Linked DNA regions of Arabidopsis thaliana. The protein of the gene in region 2 interacts with the protein of the main gene of each other region in a pairwise test. Each region holds a gene or a part of one and is shown on either strand. Other genes may lie near its edges. The genes, in order: AT2G32840, AT5G38600, AT2G43370 and AT2G39100.

Evidence for each region.
Region 1: the proteins of AT5G38600 (region 2) and AT2G32840 interact in a two-hybrid assay, tested with the Arabidopsis thaliana proteins (one large-scale study listed by BioGRID).
Region 3: the proteins of AT5G38600 (region 2) and AT2G43370 interact in a two-hybrid assay, tested with the Arabidopsis thaliana proteins (one large-scale study listed by BioGRID).
Region 4: the proteins of AT5G38600 (region 2) and AT2G39100 interact in a two-hybrid assay, tested with the Arabidopsis thaliana proteins (one large-scale study listed by BioGRID).

Annotation. Positions count from the first base shown.
Region 1 is NC_003071.7:13,932,335-13,936,691, reverse strand, and holds AT2G32840 (proline-rich family protein), read left to right. Parts: upstream 1-1,742; 5' UTR 1,743-1,855; coding exon 1,856-2,410; intron 2,411-2,653; coding exon 2,654-2,706; intron 2,707-2,796; coding exon 2,797-2,836; intron 2,837-2,933; coding exon 2,934-3,011; intron 3,012-3,114; coding exon 3,115-3,228; coding exon of another isoform or gene 3,229-3,264; exon of another isoform or gene 3,265-3,321; coding exon 3,322-3,401; intron 3,402-3,497; coding exon 3,498-3,591; 3' UTR 3,592-3,853; downstream 3,854-4,357. Other genes in the region: AT2G32850 (Protein kinase superfamily protein), read left to right, coding at 1-18, 97-761, 858-1,244.
Region 2 is NC_003076.8:15,454,739-15,461,297, forward strand, and holds AT5G38600 (Proline-rich spliceosome-associated (PSP) family protein / zinc knuckle (CCHC-type) family protein), read left to right. Parts: upstream 1-1,816; 5' UTR 1,817-1,930; intron 1,931-2,582; 5' UTR 2,583-2,647; coding exon 2,648-2,963; coding exon of another isoform or gene 2,964-2,994; exon of another isoform or gene 2,995-3,371; coding exon of another isoform or gene 3,372-3,378; coding exon 3,379-3,460; intron 3,461-3,590; coding exon 3,591-3,666; intron 3,667-4,141; coding exon 4,142-4,222; intron 4,223-4,317; coding exon 4,318-4,454; intron 4,455-4,605; coding exon 4,606-4,864; intron 4,865-4,953; coding exon 4,954-5,017; intron 5,018-5,144; coding exon 5,145-5,728; 3' UTR 5,729-6,029; downstream 6,030-6,559. Other genes in the region: AT5G38610 (Plant invertase/pectin methylesterase inhibitor superfamily protein), read right to left, coding at 6,107-6,559.
Region 3 is NC_003071.7:18,011,291-18,016,077, reverse strand, and holds AT2G43370 (RNA-binding (RRM/RBD/RNP motifs) family protein), read right to left. Parts: upstream 2,811-4,787; 5' UTR 2,648-2,810; coding exon 2,500-2,647; intron 2,408-2,499; coding exon 2,310-2,407; intron 2,227-2,309; coding exon 2,175-2,226; intron 1,982-2,174; coding exon 1,911-1,981; intron 1,734-1,910; coding exon 1,643-1,733; intron 1,547-1,642; coding exon 1,471-1,546; intron 1,372-1,470; coding exon 1,293-1,371; intron 1,089-1,292; coding exon 702-1,088; 3' UTR 548-701; downstream 1-547. Other genes in the region: BIO2 (Radical SAM superfamily protein), read left to right, coding at 2,949-3,152, 3,475-3,654, 3,871-3,977, 4,256-4,461, 4,632-4,771.
Region 4 is NC_003071.7:16,315,409-16,319,893, forward strand, and holds AT2G39100 (RING/U-box superfamily protein), read left to right. Parts: upstream 1-1,947; 5' UTR 1,948-2,053; coding exon 2,054-2,424; intron 2,425-2,504; coding exon 2,505-2,642; intron 2,643-2,749; coding exon 2,750-2,804; intron 2,805-2,943; coding exon 2,944-3,200; intron 3,201-3,391; coding exon 3,392-3,461; 3' UTR 3,462-3,479; intron 3,480-3,586; 3' UTR 3,587-3,979; downstream 3,980-4,485. Other genes in the region: APC7 (tetratricopeptide repeat (TPR)-containing protein), read right to left, coding at 106-190, 315-424, 866-928, 1,024-1,158, 1,436-1,486, 1,578-1,646, 1,757-1,825; AT2G39110 (Protein kinase superfamily protein), read left to right, coding at 4,362-4,380.

The DNA.
Region 1 (4,357 bases), on a different chromosome or scaffold from region 2:
CTACTGGAGTCCATGATGGTATAGTGAATAAAACCTATTTTGGATAGCTTCTCAAAGAAAGATGTGATTTCTTTTGATCCTTATGAATTTTGACAGGCTCATCAAAATCAGCAACTAAACCTTCTCCAGCACCTCGTAGAAGTCCGCCACCGCCGCCACCATCTTCTGGAGAATCAGATAGTGGAGGACCGCTCGGTGCCTTTTGGGCGACTCAGCATGCTAAAACCTCAGTTGTATCAGAAGATAACAAAAACATGCCTAAATTTGATGAACCAAACAGTAACACATCTAAATCTGAAAGAGTTCGTGTGGATAGTCATCAACCCAAAAAACCAAGTCCTGTGAGAGGAGAGGCTCGTGGTATTCAAAGAAATAAAGATCTTGAAACTACGATTTCTCAGAAGAATACAACTCCTGCTGCAGCCAATAACATGACAAGAGTGTCCAAGGATGATGCCTTCAACTCGTTTGTTGCTGACTTTGATACCACAAAGTTCGATAATGGTAATAAACCTGGCAAAGAAGAGGCATTGGAAGCTGAGATACAGAGGTTAAAAGACGAGTTGAAGCAAACAAAATCAGAGAAGGCAGAAATAACTGCTAAGTTTGAAAAGCTTTCTGCTATCTGCAGATCGCAAAGGCAAGAGTTGCAGGATCTCAAACAAACACTTGCCTCTAAAAGTGCCTCACCGTCACCGAGCAGAGACTCTTCACAAAATCAACCCTCTCCAGGGATGCATTCCATGTCATCAACTCCATCGGTATTATTCTTGGTTCTTGTTCATCTAAGCTTAGACACCCATACAAAAGTCTTCATCAATGTATATCTTAGAATTCTAATGTTCTTGATGAAACAGAGAGATAAGATGGAAGGAACAATGTGGGAACTTCAACAGGACAGATCTAACTGGTCAACTGGCAGCTCTGATACAAATTCATGGCAACCTTTTAGTGATGAAGCGAAACCCGTGATGGAATCTGCATCAAAGGGTAACAATAATACGATTAATCAGTCTGTGAGAACCAGAAGTAAACCAGCTTCTGCTGCAGGTACTCAAGGTTTTGAGCCATGGGGTTTCGAGACAGAATCCTTTAGAGCCGCTGCAACGTCTGCAGCTGCTACTTCTGCATCTGGAACACAAAGATCTATGGGCTCTGGAAACAGCACTTCACAGAGATATGGGAACTCAAAGATGAGAGAAAACCAGAAAACAGCTCAACCTGCTGGATGGGCCGGCTTCTAAAACTCACTCAGATGCGCATTGCTATTTCTTCCTCATGCAACAACAACAGCTTCATGTTGCTGCCATTACAGAATCTTGAATCTTTTTGTAGATGATGATCATCCCCTGTTTTTGTGCTGCTGCTAAATATACCCCACCCATATCCATTATGTTTTATGTAGAGTCTTAAACTTTACACATTCTCTGAGCTGTGGCCAGATATCTCAGCTTATGGATTATTATTGGAAAAATAAATAATTCAAGATTCAGACAGCTTACACTTCTTTCTGTGAAACTTAGAACTAAGGTCACATTTAATACCGAACCCAACCATACGATGGCTGCATTATGGTTTAAATGTTACCCAAAAAGATTTCAGCCGTAACTAAATCAGCATTTTAAAATCCTGGATTAATTTTCGTTAATGTAAATCTCACATTGAACCGGACCCGAGTAGAAAAAAGTAAAAAACCGAACCAAAACATTAAATACCGAGCCCTAGTTTAGTTAGTTAGAAGGAACTTAAAAAGAGTTCGTGTCCTGAAAATCAAAGAAAAAGCTACCAAATTTTGAATCGTTGTCTTTAACTTGATTTTCCCCAAATTTCTCAGAAATCAAAATCCGCCGGAACAATGTCTACTCCCGATCCCAATCCCAATCCAAATCCAAATCCTTCCGTCTCTGTAGCAGTATCGACTCCAATCGTCACCGCATCTGAATCTCCGGTGACACAACCTAACACAGTCATAACGCCGTCGTCTCAACCTCAACCTCAAACACCAGCTTCGTCGTACAGAGCCATAGCTCCGCTTCATCGTCATCATCCTCATCAAAATATCTACACTAACCCTTTACCGATTAGGCGTTCGAATTCCGTTACTAATTCGCCTCATCAGCCTCCTCACCCAGACCCGTCTAGTCTGATATACCCGTTTGGTTCTTCGGGTCGAGGGTTTCCGACCCGACCCGTTAGACAGAATTCCAATTCCGTCGCTGATCCAGTTGGTAGTCCTAGTCCAGGTGGGTATACTCCTCGAGGGCCAGTTTACGGATACCACCATGGCCAATTCGTGTCGAATTTGGATCCAATGAATCAGTTCATGAGAGCTGCACATCCTCAGAATCAACAATCTCCTCAACTTGGTTCCGGTCATATGAAAGGAGTTCCTCATTTTTTGCAACCTCGGGTTAGTTATCGTTTTCGTTACCAAAACAAGTTTGAATCTTTTTGTTTAATTCCATAGTTTTGTCAAGTGTTTTTTTTGTAGCTTGTGCTAGTTAGTGAAAATGTGTATGTTGAAGTGAAGATTATTTGCTTTGGTGATTGTAGAATTCGAATAGCAATCTCTAATGAATTAGGAAAGGTTGAAACTTCTGTTAGATATTTGTGTGAGGTTACATTTTGTAAATTTTGGATTTTTGATTGTTAGGCTACTCCTTCTCCAACTTCAATTCTAGACAACAGTGGGCATAAGAAGGCCAGGTACTTTATCTTCTTTGCCATTATGCTTTGTTAATTAGAAACTACTCTAGAAACTTAATAATGTCTCTGTTTCGTTTCCATGGTGTTTAGGAGCCGGGATGATGCTCTGGTCCTCGTTAGAAAAAGAAAGGTATAGTTTTATCCTTGTTTTTTGGTTTTGCATTATCGTTCGAAACCGCTTGCTTCGCCATTTGAGGAATTTTAAATACTTTTTATTTGTTCTGCAGGTTAGAATAACCGAGGGAGCTTCTTTATACTCGCTGTGTCGATCTTGGTTGAGAAATGGTGCTCATGAGGGAATTAAGGTTCGTATCCATTTCTTATTTCTGCTTTGTAGTATAATGCAACACTTGGATTTTTGTATATCTATTCTTGATATCTTTGGAAGATTAATGACGTTGTTTACAGCCGCAGCGAATTGATATGATGACATGTTTGCCAAAGCCTTTACCTGTGGACAAGACGGAGACAAGTTTGCCAAAAGATTTAGTTGAAGAAGCAATTTGCGAAGAAGACAAAGAGGTTTCGTGTTTCTCTGATTTCTTTCTAAAATGGTAATTGTGAAGGGTAAAGCTAAGTTTGATTATTTACTTCAACTCTCTTGATGAGCTTCAGGACGAGGAATCTGTGAAACATTTGTCAGAATCTGATCTTTTGAAAAGACATATAGACCGAGCTAAGAAGGTCCGCGCTCGGTGAGTCCCACAACATATCATCAAAGCTAAGTTCGATGGTTGAAGATTGAATATTTTTTGTTTTGAACAAAATTGTGTGGTTTGTTTTGTTTGCAGATTGAGAGAAGAACGGTTAAAGAGAATCGCGAGGTACAAGGCAAGATTGGCTCTTCTTCTGCCACCCTTTGGAGAGCAATGCAGGAACGAGTAATGATTTTAAAGTTAGGGACTTCGGTGTGAATATACTTGCAGTTGATTTAGAAATGACATAAATTATCTTAGAGCCAGAGTTATGTCTTATGTCTGTGTGTAATATAAGAAAGATTTTCTCTGAATTTTCGTCATACACTCGTATTAGATGATTCTAAACTAATCAACAATCTCAAGATTTTCTGAGATGGTTAACTTATATAGCTCTTATCTTTTTTTTTTTTCAAGAACACCTAGTAGTTCTTGGACAAGTAAAATTTTCAATATAGTATTCGGTCATGGTGGGTCGACCATGTTTTGAACGCTGGATCGATCATCATGTGGTCGGACGATCATAATTTCAGAGATTGATCGACCATCCTTGGAAGCACGAACACATTTAGTCATGTGTTTGAATTTTCTTTTATCTTATTTGTTTCCAACTCCCAAATGATACGAAATGTCACAAAAACTCTTAAAATCACTACATAATCTAAGACTTCCTAAGACACAAATACTCCTATGGACATTAAAACAAGATTTTATCAACAGTGAAGCCATATTATCATCACTGTAGTTCTGAAAATGCCATATTGCCCAAAGTCTTTTCTAGCTAGTATGCCATAGTGGCTAACATCTTCTTCTTTCTTTTCATCTCTCTAAATAAGCAAAAAATTGAGAGGCTTTCTCTTCCTCTTCTATTCCTCTCCAACATAGTATTCATTCTCTCCTCATCTCATCTCTTGTTTCTTTTCAGCCGGAGCTTGTGCCGATGGTTCTACGTCGAT
Region 2 (6,559 bases):
GTTTGATCCAAGAAATGAAGGAAGATGAAAGGTGGAACAAAATGGAATTGAAGAGATGGAAATCGATGACCGGTTTGTGCTTGGTGTGCCTTTCTCTCTCAGTCATTGCAATTCTGATCATAATGTTCTATAAGAACAAAAACCGGAAGCTTGTTCTTGGTTACTAATCAGTCCTAGTGTTTACAAACCGAAAGCTTGTGTTTGTAATGAAATCCTTGTTCGGCTAATCAGTCCTAAATTTTTTAGTGATCAATCACTTTGAACCTGCCAAGTGCCAACACAAAATCACGAGATGTTTAATTTTAAGTGATCAATCTGTTTAAGAACCTGCTTAGTAGAACTTGTGTCACAAAGACAAGTCAAATCACATAATGAAATCGATTCAGGTTCGTCATCCTCCTCCTCTTCAACTCTCACTCTTTTTCGTTTTCGAAGCCTCTGTGATACCGGAGCTTCAACTCCGACAGAAGACTCTGCTACAACAACAGCCGGCAACGCTAGAACTCCACCATCAAACTCCATCTCCGGTGGAGCTCGAACTCCATCTCCGGTTTCAGCTTCTCGTCGTGGTGGAATAGGAGCAATGTCGACTTCGCCTTCCATTGCTAAGGCAATCACAACAAGATTAATCGAAGAACAAACACGATTTTACCAATGAGAGAATTAGGGATTTGGTTTGAGAGAATTAGGGATTTTGAGAGAATTAGGGATTGAGTTTTCGATTTGGGCGTTTTGATTTGTTTCGTTAGGTTTGAAACGACGGCGTTTTGGTCTTAACAGAATTCATTAACGTTCTCTTAACGGGGTTAATCAGCGAGTTAACGTCTCGGGATTTTGGCCAGGTCAACGTTTTATTTCTGTTAAAATGGCTGGTCAACGTATTTTTCATGTTTATTTTGGCCGACGTCAGAGTTCACGTATAAAATGACCACTTTTTGAAAGTTCGCGTATAAAACAACATTTTTCCCATTATAATTGGGTTTAGTTTCCTCAAGAAAATCGGTTAAATGAATAATAAACCGATAAACCCAAGATCGTGGGTTTCTAAATCTATAACTATTAATTCGAAAAATTTATACTGTATATTGAAATTTTTGTTAGGGGGAGAAATAGATAGAGAACTATTTTTTTGGGATATATAAATCGTTTTAATATGATATTATAGTTCTCGTAGATAAATAAATTGTTTTTTCCCTAATAATCTAAATCCATATATTACTTTAATTCCTAAGTTTAGAAATTTAATAGATTTTGTCGAGAAGAAGAAAAAAAAATCAATACAACAATAAAAAAACAATCGTTTAAGTGTTTAACGTCTTCTTCTTCTTTTCTTTTCTGGGTAAACACTTTCTTCTTCATCATCAAATTTATCATCAAAATCAAACTCAACATCACCTTTATATTCGCTATTAGCGAATCCAACATCATCTTCTTCGTATATTTAAAATTATATATCAAAATCTTTGACATATGATGTTTAAAATACAAATATATATATTACTTACCAACAGTCTATTTAATACGCTGCGAATATATTGTATACTTTTATCATGTGATACACTATTAATAAGTATCCTTTTTAATAATAAAAAAATCTACTAAAATTTCCTACCAATTAAAATTTTTCAATCTTCAAAAAAAGAAAAATACTTACCAAAAAAAAATAACCTAGTCAACTTACCAAATGATAGTCTTAAGAAAATCTTAATTAAAAAGAAAAACAAATCAGATAAACTTCTAAAAAGAAAATCCTTGTTAACACGCACCGTTTGGTATGTTGACTAATATTCACTGCGCTGCGTAGCATTGGATAGTCGTCTCTTCTAACACTTAAGTCTTAGGCGGATGAATAAAACAGTCTCTTCCTTTTGAATCTCACAGATCTATCTACTATCGCCATTCTTGCTTCTTCCCTCCTCCATTGACTAAGGTTAAGCCCTATCTCTATGTAAATCTCTCAATCTTCAAATTGCTTGTTTCTTGCTTCTTCTTTCTTCGTACCTTAAGAACATTTCACTACTTTTGAAAGATTTGTTGTTCCCGACGAAGCCTTGGTGTCGTTTCATCTCCTTCTTCAAATTTTTAAAAATTTCTCCAGTTTTTGCTTCGCGAGTATATGCTTTAGGTTTCGAATTGAGTAGATTAAGCTCTTGTTCACTGTTTTTGATTTGTCAAATCTTGAACCCTAGTTTTTTCACAAATTGATTAACAATGGATACGCAAGGTAATCTTGGAAGTTTAATTGTTTATTTAACTGTGTTCAAAGTTGAAACCCTAATTTTCTGGGTATGCGAATCGGGCTGGGATTGAAATTAATCGCTCTAGGAGCTGAGATTTTTCTTAGATTTGAGATATTGATTGCTTGTTTCTTCATTCTTAGCAATTACGTTAATCAAATGTTGAATTTTGTTGATTCTTTGCTTAACGGATCTAAAATCTTGTGTGGCTTGATTTGGATATGATTCTTTTTGGTCTTGAATATAGTGTTTGTATATATTTGTGTTCTATTTAATGTGTATGTTGTACTCTATTTAATGTGTATCTTGTTATTGCGTTTCTGATACTGTCGTTTCTTATTACAGGGTGTTTTTTATGGGTGGTTTGTGAAATTGTTTTGAGGATATAAAGATTTCAATTTTGTTTGAAAATGGAAACTGAGGATGTGCTTGACATACCAGCTTCAAGCAATTTTGGCTCTGAAGTAAAGAAAAATAGCCTTGAATCTGGGAATGGGTCACCTGAGGCTAATTCTTTAGTTGGTAATGATGAGAATGTGAAAGGAAATTTAGATTTGGATTTAACAGAAGAGAATTTGAGAATTGTCGGTGGCCAAGAGTCTGGGGAAATACTAACAGAGCAGGTTAGTGATGTGTTCAATGCGAGTGTGGAAAGTGTGGCGGTAGATGAGAAATTGGGTATCCAAAAGGAGACACTAGTTCACAGCACCACTTTGGATGTTAGTTGTATCCTTTCTTTTGCTCTACTATATTGAAGGTTGCTTGCTTTCCCTGACCTTTTTTTTGTGATAACTGATAAGACATGGCACTTGATCTGTTTCTGTAATTATTTGCTGCTCAGACTTGATGTCTATCATTATGTTATCTTCTGATACGAGACTATGGTTAGGTTGATTAGGTCACGGTTAGGACGGTTTAATTAATTAGTTTTGGTGTTATGAGTTTCTTTCAATCATGGGTTTTGGAAGTCTTACTTTTAGCATTAGGTTTGATGTTACTTTTTACACAATGTATTGTGGCCTAATTCTCTAAGAGAGAGTTGGGTTGAAGGGAAGCTTTTGCTTAAATCATTCTTATCTTTTACGTTTATATAAGGTTCATATCATCTTCTTCTGTTTTTTTCCGTAATTCCTTATGTCAGCTAAAGCGGGTGTTAAAAGACCCCGAACATCGTATGACGAACAGCAGCCTACAGTCCATGTTACTTATAAGCACTTAACGAGGTTAGAAAAAAAGAGTCATGACTCAACTACATGTAATTTTAAATTGCATGAAATGCTCAAGCATTTCTGTTATTATGTGATTCCTAGCTTTACCACATTGTTTTAATTGTTAGTGTACTGCATCTTTCAGAGCTAGTAAGCAGAAGCTGGAAAGTTTATTACAGAAATGGTCAGAATGGGAGGCTGAAAATACGTCCTTGGCTCAGGTATCTCTTAATGGAGAAGGTTATCTTACTCTCAAAAATGTTATTTGTAGCGAATATAATAGTGACTATTATCATCTTTCAATATTTGATCAATTAACATTTTGTTAAGAGAATCATTATTAGATATCGAGTTTAATAAGTGTGCAAGAATATGATACTAGATTATTTATCATATAAAGTATCTATTATCATGCTCATGCATGCTGTAGCTCTCCAATATTCTATCCTTGCTTTAGATAGGCCTTAGCCATATTAATACTGAGATATCGACTATTTGTTGATGTAAAACAGAACTAGCATTTACTAAGGTATGTTTATCATAGTCCCTAATACTGAACTCTTTTAGTTTATATGATAAGAATTCATACTTTACATGGGGAAATTGTTTGTTGGCTAGGTTTATATTCGAATAAAGTTTTTGACTTATCATATATGAAACTTTAAGGTAGAATCTTTTCATTGGTTGTGTGCTCAGGATCAAGAACAACTATTCGAATCTGGTGAAGAGACATGTTTCCCCGCCATACGTGTTGGATTGCAGAAGACTTCGTCTGTGGTGAGTGAAAATGTTGTCAACGCTATTAAAAGTTCTTAACTATTCATATCAGTAATCTTCATGACATGCCAATTGGTGCTTTTTTGCATATGCAGTCATTCTGGATCGACAACCAAACTGGTCATAAGCCGTTGGAAGATTTTGTTCTAGTGGAAAGTAGCACCACTCCTCTTTATGACCGTAAATTTGCTATAGGTTTAAATTCAGCAGATGGCTCAAGAAACGTGGAAGGGTATATTGAATCTATATTTGTAACAACTTCCACAGATCCTTTAATTCTGCTTTGCTTACATTTGCTGTAGAATAACTTAGCAGTGAATGTTATAATGGTCTTGCAATGGGTGGTGCATTCATGTAACAGTTAATGTAATTTATTGTTTCAGGGGATTGGAGATTATTGATGATGATCCTCCACGTTGCTTCAATTGTGGTGGCTATAGTCATTCTCTAAGAGAATGTCCAAGGCCTTTTGATCGATCAGCGGTTAATAGTGCTCGGAAGCTTCAGAAATCTAAACGAAATCAGAATAGTAGTGGGCCCCGTCTACCATCAAGATATTATCAAAAAACTCAAACTGGAAAGTATGATGGCTTGAAACCCGGCACACTTGATGCAGAGACTCGTCAGCTTCTGAATCTGGGGGTAATTTTGAACCTTTTCTTTCTGTGTATAGGTTCTTACCAATATGCTCGATTTCAGATTTCTTAGATCATTGCTTTCCTTTTGTGAAGGAACTAGACCCTCCTCCGTGGCTAAACAGAATGCGAGAAATTGGGTACCCACCAGGATACTTAGGTAAGCTTTCTGCTCTGTTTTATTAGCATTCATGGACATGGAAAAGAAGTGGATTTTGTTGGTATCGCACAAGAGCTAAACTAAACTAGATGTTCTCACACTTTCCATTGTGTGCTTATGTCTCTAGCTCCAGAAGATGATCATTTGTCTGGAATAACTATATTCGGAGAAGAGGTGGAGACTCGGGAGGAGATAGAGAGTGAGGATGGGGAAATTTTGGAAAAAGCAAACCATCCTCCAGAGCCACAAATGAAAAAGACCGTCGAGTTTCCGGGAATTAACGCTCCCTTCCCAGAAAACGCAGATGAGTGGCTTTGGGAAGCTGCACCTTCACATAGGAACAGCAGCAGAAGCGGCCGATGGCAACAACAAAAAACAAGCAGAGGACATGATTACAGAGACGATGGTCCGCTCGGCGTTGAACCATCAAGTTATCCTCCAAGGTATGGCAGTAGATATGATTACGGGTATGGTTCAAACGAATATGGTTCTAGGTCAAGAAGTCCAGGCATAGATAGATCTTTATCCGAAAGAAGTAAGAGGGATTATTCTTCTTACGATGCTGACTTCCGGGAGAGAGATAGAGATAGAGACAGGAACAGGGATAGGGATAGAGACAGAGACTGGGATAGGGACAGGGACAGAGACTGCGATAGAGACAGGGACAGGGACGATCGTGATTGGTCTTATAGATTAAGCAGCAGGAGATAAATTGTGAGACTTTTAGCTGTGTATGTGTGTATGTGGAGGTTAGGGTTCAATTTTTTTCTACATTCTCTCTTTCCCTCTATGCTGTTGTATCATGTCCATGAAAGTGGAAGCTTTCTTCTAGTTATCAGACTTTAGATGTTTTAGATTTAATTTCCTCTTCCAAGTTTCTTTCGAAGCTTTAAGGTTTTACTATTTTGGGTATGTCTTCACTTCTTAAAATGGAAAGTTAGTTACTCATGTTTCTTATTAGTTGATGTTTTGGAAATGTTTACACAAAGATATAAACACATTATTTGTGAACATTAATACATTTATCTTTATCCTTTTGTCGTTTTCGATACAAACAAAAGCCTAAACAGCTAAAAGATTGAAAACGATTTAGAAAGATAGAGATGTGACAGAAGAAGAGAGCATATTGAATATACAAAGAGCAATCTGACCAAACTCAAACAATTTGTGATTCTCATCACCAATAGGAGACGTCCACGTCGTCACACCTCCACCACCACCGTCACCGTCGTCTCTTTCCCTGAATCCATTCTCACAAGTCACGGCGGATTCCATGGCGGCGCTTACCATCACATTAACCGTACCTAACTCTTTCCTTGTAATAAAAACTCTCACTGCCTCCTCCAATCTATCCGTCGCGTCCTCGTAAAGCTCGAGGCAGTCACGGAGGCAAGCACTGCGGAAACTACCGTCGTCGTCGCTTATAAGAAGCTGTTGAATGGTGGAAGCTGTTGCGGTGGCGTTGTCGAGAGCTTGGAGCATTGGAACAAGGGCAAGAGAAGAAAGATTGGTCGGAGAAGGAAGAGCTATTGGAGAGTTGTT
Region 3 (4,787 bases), on a different chromosome or scaffold from region 2:
TCGGATAATTTGACTTTTATTCCACTTGCATGCAACGAGTACGAGAATGACATTGTCTCTAGTCAATCTGAGGCGACTCTCTATCCTCCTAATAGACAATTCATGAGAGGTACAAATACAATCAAATCAAAGTGAGTTTGAATAAACAAAACAAGAATCTGAAACCAAGTTTCAATTCTGTCTGTTGATACAACAACTATCTAGTATCTACACAGACAAACTAAATCTCTATTTCAACATCAAATGTGAGTTTTTATATTCGAACAAATTCAATACAAAACAAAATATAAGATAATAATAGTTCATTAGTTCTAAAAAAAGAAATATAAGATAAACTACAGAAACAAATCCAACTGTAATGTCATAGTTCATAAAAATAATAATATTTGATGAACTATTTTATCCATTTAGATAAATTACAAATTGCATCATCCCAAATTTTTTTATATCTTAACAATCAAATCTATACGGCCATAATTTAAGATATAAAGACAATTCACTCATGTTAATTGCAAAACAAATATCTTGTTTGTAACTAAAAAAAAAAGACAATTTCTGTTTTGCTATATTTGATTAACATACACTACACTTTTTTTTTCTTTGGTTCAAAAGGCACTCTTAAAAGTCTCTAACACCAAATATTATTAAAAAAAAATCTGTAACACCAAATATTATTGTTATTTTTTTTACAATATGATTACTTAGTCGGAAGAATGATGATCTTGACTATAGGACCTCCTATGATGATGGGAAGGCAAGTGTTTATGACGTTTGCGAGATCGGTCTTCTTCAGAACGTTTTGATCTTTTGCTGCCAGAAACTTCACCCTTGTTGTCACCATATCGATCTTCCATACCTCGTGCTCTCTCTTTTCTATCAGAACGGGACTCTTCCCTGGAACACTCCTCTCTGTCTTTGCTGCGTCTTCTATGAGAACTGTGTGTGTGTGCGCTCGACCTGTGACTGTGATATGACCTAAGGCTGCTTCGCTCTTTAAACTCTTCTTCCCGTTCTACAGAACTCTTTTCCCGATAATATTCTTCCTCTCTATCCGACACACTTCCTTTTCTCCTTGGAGGTGATGGGATCTGCATCCAACAAGTAAGTTGTGGTACCAAGATTTTAGTTTACAAACTATCAGCTTTCCACTAGACACATTGAACAACCCATTTAATATATTATTTCTAGCAGAAGAACATTAACAAATGACCCAATAAGATAGCACCAGAGACAGAACAGGGGTAAAGTTCAAATGACTATAGAGTGGTGGTGAAGTTCAAGACATGGTAGACCTGTGTGCGCGACATATATCTTCCCTCAGGCGGAAGCTGAATACCGAGCTTTTTCAAATCTTCATGAGGGATTGGTCGTCTGATATTAACAAATAGAAAGAATGCCCATTTCATGACCACTATGTTTAGCTGGTGTTATCTCTGGACATGCTAAAGGAAGAGTAAAGCAAAACCATACAAGGGAGCACGGAATGGTCTATCTCGTCCTCCAAAGCGAAGTTGTCCGGATTCTTTCCTACCACCAAGGCCACCTCCTGTTAAGAGAGAAATAGATTTCATCTGTAAGGGATGAAAATATAACGCCTATGACATTTCATTACAGACAAAAATAAAGGTAAAGAATGGCAAACCTAGTCTTCTTGGTATCCATCCAGGCATCAATTGCTGTCTATTATAATCAACAATAATCTCTCGCCCATCTATTAGTGAATGATGAGCATCCTGCTAAAGAAACACCAAAAAAATTCTCACTCTGATAAACAAACTCCACTAGTTTCCAGTAATTACACGGAGATGTTAATGAAACAATCACATTGCGGTGCCTTAGTAAGTGGTTCAGACAGCTTTCAACAACAAAAACAAGAGGTAAAAAGAAAATGCAATTTAGTATCACAGCACCTCATAAGCACGAAGCATCTCCTTTTCAGTCTCATACTCCACAAAACCATATCCTCGTGAAGCTCCCGTCACTAAAAAAAGGTAACAAGAAGAGGAGACTCAATACTACACAATGTGGAACTTAGAGGAAATATGTAATCACAGTTCTGCTTAGACAAATATCTTGGTAGAAAGTAACAAACCATCAGAAATAGAAAGATGATAAATTTCCTAAAGATAAAGCAAAGTGTTGATGTCATAAGTAGAGCAATTGCAAAATCTTACCAATGTGTCTTACCAAGCGCAAGTTCTTAATCCTGCCATACTTACTCATCACCTACGAAGAAGAAACTTTTATAATCATATTCAAAACATAGTCTACACGAAAATCAAAAACTAAGTGAAATTTCAATCATTAACCTCTCGAAGTGTATCCTCCGTAGTGTGATGAGAGAGACGACCCACGAAGAGAGTACAGTAAGGATCTCCAACAGCCTTCGAATCACCAGAAGGATCATCTTTCAAAACAACCCAAATCAATGTATTTGAATTCAGAAACCAAACGATAAAAGTGAAAAGAGGAGCAGAGAGAACGAGAGAGTATACATACATAAGCCAGCGTTATAACAGAGAAGAGCTCGACGGACGCCGTTATCATGTGGAGCAACATCAGTTCCGTCGATACTTCCGGCTTGAATCGGATGATACGACGTCGCGTAGAACACTTTGTTCACGACGTTGTTTCCTCCGCCGCTCATTTCTTCTCCCCCGACTCTCTCTCTCTCACGGCGGCTCCGGCTGTTTAAGGAAATAAAGAATAACGTCGTCGTTTGAATTGATTACTATTAAAAAGCCCAACATATAAATTGGGCTTATTACAGCCCAGTTAAAGATATATGATATTCTCGTAGGTCCCACACGAAGGCGGAAACTCCAACGGTGGCTGCTTTGGGTTAGGTGAATCACTCACTGAAGAGTGAAAAGCTCTAGCACAAACCAAACACCAAATCTCATTTCTTCTTCTTCTTCTTTTTCCACATTTTCTGATTAGCAGATCAAATGATGCTTGTTCGATCTGTATTTCGATCTCAGTTGCGACCCTCTGTCTCGGGTGGTCTGCAATCTGCTTCTTGCTATTCTTCATTATCTGCTGCTTCAGCTGAAGCTGAGAGGACTATCAGAGAAGGTCCCAGAAACGATTGGAGTAGAGATGAAATCAAGTCTGTTTATGATTCTCCTCTTCTTGACCTCCTCTTCCATGGAGTAATTTACCCTTCTTCTTCTCTCTCTCTCTCTCTCTCTCTCTCTCTCACTTACTCTTCTCTTTGTTGTTCTAGCTACTCTAAATCACAAATTTGAAGTAGAAAGCTTTGGGTTTCTGTTAAATTATTGGTGGAAAGTATCGATTTTTAGTTTAACCCAGAACATGTTTGTTCTCTTTGAAACATTTGTCTTAATTTCCCGGATTTTAGTGTCTTTGTAATGTCTATTGAGCTAGGTATTATTCATTTGGTTGCTCATCTGATCTCGTTATCAGTTGTCTTTTACTTGAATAACGATGGTGTGTGGACTCTTTGGGTTTCAGGCTCAGGTTCATAGACATGTTCATAACTTCAGGGAGGTACAACAATGTACCCTCCTCTCCATAAAGACTGGTGGCTGTAGTGAAGACTGTTCATATTGTCCTCAGTCTTCGAGATATAGCACTGGAGTTAAGGCACAAAGACTCATGTCTAAGGACGCTGTCATTGATGCTGCTAAGAAGGTTTGCACTTTTCTTGTGAATGTTTATTTTTGCTGAATGTAGAATCCTTAGCAGAATGTATCAAGAAGAAGGGGACATGCATTACTATGTACCAAAACGTTGTTTTTATCAATCCGAGCTCTATCTCTATCCAAAAGACTCTAATTGTTTAATGAAGCATTTTGACGATGTAATGAGCTCTTCTGATTTGAATTAACAAATTTGATGTGTTGTTAGGCAAAAGAAGCTGGGAGCACACGTTTTTGCATGGGTGCTGCTTGGCGAGATACAATTGGACGGAAAACCAACTTCAGCCAGATTCTTGAATACATCAAAGAAATAAGGTACCTTACTATTATGCTTTTTAAGTTGAACTTTGAATTTCCTTGTTTATACTACATTATATGATCCCTTTTTCAGCTGCTTCTGAATCTAAGCTAACTTAAAAGATAACCCACCGAACCGATCATTAATGGTTCTAGAATGAACATTTTTGCATGTCAAACTAAAGTGAAAATTTCAAAGTGTACTTGATGTATCCGTGAGCAGAATGAATATGATGTTGATGATGGTGTCTGGCTGAATGTGTTTACTAACTTTCTGGGCTCTCACTTTAAAACAGAGGCATGGGGATGGAAGTTTGCTGCACCTTAGGCATGATTGAGAAACAACAAGCACTAGAGCTAAAGAAGGCTGGCCTCACTGCTTATAACCACAATCTTGATACTTCAAGAGAGTACTACCCAAACGTCATCACTACTAGAAGTTATGACGATCGCCTTGAAACTCTTAGCCATGTTCGTGATGCTGGAATCAACGTTTGTTCAGGTAACTTTGATATGAAAATAGTATTCTTGTATGCCTCAATTCTATAGAACTAAAGGATTGAAACCTGTCTTCAGCTTGGTCATTAGACTCACAGTTTTGTAATATTCGTTGATTTTGATAAATCCATAGATACGACATGTTCTCAAGTGTTTTCTTTTACCGATAAACAGGAGGAATCATAGGGCTTGGTGAGGCAGAGGAAGACAGAATAGGTTTATTACACACGCTGGCAACACTTCCTTCTCACCCTGAGAGTGTTCCCATTAATGCTCTACTTGCAGTGAAAGGCACTCCTCTTGAAGACCAGAAGGTATATCTCCACAATC
Region 4 (4,485 bases), on a different chromosome or scaffold from region 2:
AAAGTTGTATGGATTTCACACAGAAAAGGTAATTGCAAAATAGAGAGAAAGAGGTGCAAAACACATTTGAAGAAGTGGTGAAAGAAATCTCGTAGAAAGGGACACCTGAGTAAACGATGATATGATATCCTTTGCACTAACTCCCAGTTCAGCTAAACCTATGACGGCTTCAAGTACATAAGGACACTGCCTGCAGAGATTAAAGATTATATATATGTTTACTATGTGTTGAATTGGTATTTAACGTAAAAAGTGAGATATTATAACAGTGTTTCTATGCTAGGAAATGTTGGGAAAGAAAACGAAAAACAGACCTTAAACACTCTTTATAAAAAGCAATAGCACCACGGTTGTATCCAGAATTTCGATGAAGCTTTGCCATCAGTATATTCATCTCTAAGCTCCTGGTCTTGACAGATTCCATCTGGCAAAGAAATAACAAGTGCAAAAATAGATTATAGCTAAGCAGACCATGGCTTTATCATCCCTAATACCTACATGCAGTGTTGGAAGGAATCCAATTAGTTTACTTGTTTTGTAATATGGATTTGCATTGATGGGAGCAGGTCAACGCAACAAAATTCAACTCACATTCAGGAATACTATAACAATGCATTAGTTACGGCCCAAGAATGTTTCACTGAAATTACAGTTACTTAACTCTGGTTATAAAATACAATAGCAAGACATAAAAGTCATCCTATACAAAACCAATCTATAATCTTAGAAATAGAGAAATCCCTAGACAGCTCTTTTACCGTCTCATACACACATATTTTATTTTCTATATACCAAAGTTTCTAGACCAACAAATCCAGAAGACTAAATAAATCTTGAAAACCAGACAAACAGATGACACTCATACCTCAGCAATCGCAGCTTTTGTTTCATTAAGAGCAAAGTGAGATGAAGCAATCTTGAATCTCACCTAAAAGGAAAGTTAGAAAAAGAAGATGCACATGAACTCCAATGAAATTAAACCAAACCACATCACTTTCTGGAAACTGCAACACAGTTATTTACCTCGTTCTCATTAATAGCAGAAATGCTGGAGGCATTCACAGATGATCTGGTAGATAAAGATAATGAACTCCTCGAAATACCGGAGCTTTGCTTCGGAATCCTTGTGTAATGATGCAACGCTTGCTTGTACGTATGCTGACAAAAAGAAGGAATACATATTCAGAATTTCGAGATGACTTCAAAGTAATCCACAGGAAAAGAATAAGCAATACAAATATAAAACTTATCTCTGCTCACTCCATAAATTCATATAATCAGAATCTTTACAATTTTATCATAATCCAGTCAAATTCAAGTTCCGAGAATGATTTATAGAGTTCAAATTTGAGGCAGAACTAAACTATCGAGAACTGAGTAACATTTCCTTCACAGCAAAAGAGAAACATAAAGAATGAAACTTTTGAGAACTTACAATAGCTCTCCGGTGTTCTCTCTGATGAAATAAAGCATCACCCAGTAGAATCTGATTAAAAAACACAGAAAGAATCTAACTTCAATCTAACGGACTCAGCAGCTACTAAAATAGAAAATATCGACGGAGAAAGAAGCTTAACCAAATTCTCCGCCTTGAGCTGAGGACTAGTTTCGGCACTAACAGTAGGAGAAGAAACGAGAAAGCAGCCCTGGATTTAGTTGCATATATAGAGAGAATTTCATTAGCTCTTGATGAAAACTAGGGATTTAGAAAAAAAGAGATAGACAATCAAAATGAGCTAAAAGCTAGAGAAGTTACGAGCATTTCAGCAGAATCGTAAAGCCCATGCTCTATTAAAGTCGCGATCTGCTCCTTTGGAACCTCCATTTCAGAGACAAGAGAGTTCGTCGTTAGTGGCAATGGTGAAGTTTTTTCTTCGGAGCAGCGATGAAGTAAAAGATCCTTCACGCTCGCTCTTCATTTTGAAACAAGAAATCTCGAACCGAGTCAACCCAAACCGACATTAACCGGTTATCTATCTGAAATCCATCTCGGTTCATTAAAACCCGACTTTTCCAAGAGCCCGACTTCACCGAACAATCTCTATCTCCGGTCATGCCTCCATTACCGTCCTCCACGGCGCCTTCGTCTTCGAGACATCTTCGATCGCCGGAAAGTATCGCGAAATTTGCAGGGAGAGCAATATTTCCTGCTTTACAGGGGAAATCGTGTCCGATATGCCTCGAAAATCTAACCGAGCGAAGATCCGCCGCCGTGATCACGGTGTGCAAGCACGGATACTGCCTTGCTTGTATTCGGAAGTGGAGCAGCTTCAAGAGGAATTGTCCTCTTTGTAACACTCGTTTTGATTCCTGGTTTATCGTTAGTGATTTTGCTTCTAGAAAATACCATAAGGAGCAATTACCAATTCTTCGTGATCGTGAGACTTTAACTTATCATCGGAATAATCCTTCCGATCGCCGGAGGTTATCTCTCTCTCTAAGATCCTCTCTATGAAGTTAAAAATCACTTCTTTATTATATTCACTTGGTTATTATTTCATTAGGATAATTCAAAGGTCGAGGGATGTTTTGGAAAACTCTAGCTCAAGATCAAGGCCATTGCCATGGCGGAGATCATTTGGACGACCAGGTTCAGTTCCTGATTCTGTTATCTTCCAGCGAAAGCTTCAGTGGCGAGCTAGGTTGGTTTACTATTGATTCTAACTCTATAGCTTCATTTGCAATCTCCTTTTTCGAAGTGTTAGATTAGTTCGCCGTTGTTTCTAACTAGTGTTGGCTCTAAATACAGCATATACACTAAGCAATTACGAGCTGTTCGATTACATTCAAGGCGCTTGGAACTAGTAAGTTTCATTATACAATGTGTTCTTCTCTGTTTGATGTTTGTAGTATTGGGGTTTACACTCTTACATTATTGGATATATGTTCACATTGGAAGCCTTATATATACCTGCTTCGTTGTGTCATCTTGGATTATTGTAGAGTTTGGCGGTGAATGATTACACCAAAGCAAAGATAACTGAAAGAATTGAGCCATGGATTAGAAGAGAGCTTCAGGCAGTCCTTGGAGATCCTGATCCCTCAGTTATTGTTCATTTTGCGTCAGCTCTTTTCATCAAAAGGCTTGAGAGAGAGAATAATCGACAAACCGGGCAGACCGGGATGTTGGTGGAAGATGAAGTCTCCTCTCTTCGAAAATTCTTGTCTGATAAGGTGGATATATTTTGGCATGAACTAAGGTAAGATTTTTATACGCTAGGGTTTTTTCAGAGTTTCAAGTAGTTACAGGTTTAGTATAGTAGTACAGAAAACACATAGGCAACCTAAACCTAGTGACTTGTAAGTCTGAACAGATGATAGAGCTGATATCTGTTTGGTTTAGGTTTTTTGGTCATATACTATTTCTGATGAGAAAGAAAACATTTTTCAGATGTTTTGCGGAGAGTATACTCACGATGGAGACTTATGATGCAGTGGTTGAATACAATGAGGTGGAGTAATAGCAGTAAAAAAAACAGGTAAAGAAATTAGGATATGTATTATGTGGGTTTGGTTTCACTAAGTAGGAACCTGTTTTGCTTCGATGGTTTTTTTTCTGAAGTCATTATGTTGTATTCGCTTGCAGATAACCGAGCACTATGCTCTCGTCAAATGAAGTAAATAGACAGACTTACAACGCGACTGTTGGTGTCTTGGAAGTTCAATAGTGGAAAGACTGGACCAAGTAAGAGAAACCAAGAGTTAAAGAGTAGGTAGGAGGAAGATGTTGAGATGATGCAAGTTTAGGTGTGGAGTTAGTTTTGAGATAGCTATAGGTGGATTCTCAAATAGCTGACACTTAGTCTCTCTACTTCCATAATGTACGTCTCTTCTATACCAAAAATTCTCACCCCCAAAGTTTCTTTCCAACGCTTTTCCTCACCTCATCATTTTTTCTTACGTTTCGAGTACCACCTATTTCAACAACATTAAATATTTTCTATAATTTGACTATCAATTTTTAATAAATTAAAACTATACATAGTTTTAGATAAATTACACGAAGCTTCCATAGAAGAGGAAAGTTCATTTGAATTTCTCTTCTAAACCGTACCTTAAAGATTAAATGGTGAATATACACGGGGAAATTTTTTTAATAAACAACGCGTTCTCTATTAAGGTATTGATTGATATAAGTAAGCAAGCGGGTGTAACACAAAATAAAATATTATAAAAGGCTTCTTCTATAGGTTGGTAAGCGGCAATCCAGCTGCCATTGCCTATTTGACTTCCCCCATTCGATCATGGTGAGCTCGTCTTCTCTCTTCTCCTCTTATCTCTTTCTCTACCATTTTCTTTTGCTTTAAAGCTCTCTCAATCATGATCATGAAGACCCCCATCACAGCATTCCATTCATCCTCATGAATAATTCTACATCAGGTTTCTTCTCTTTCCCTTTCTGATTCTCAACACTCTTACCACATTTCTACTTTTGTGTTGTATATCGATTTTTGTTCTACATTCTTCCAAATGTCAGGGAATCTA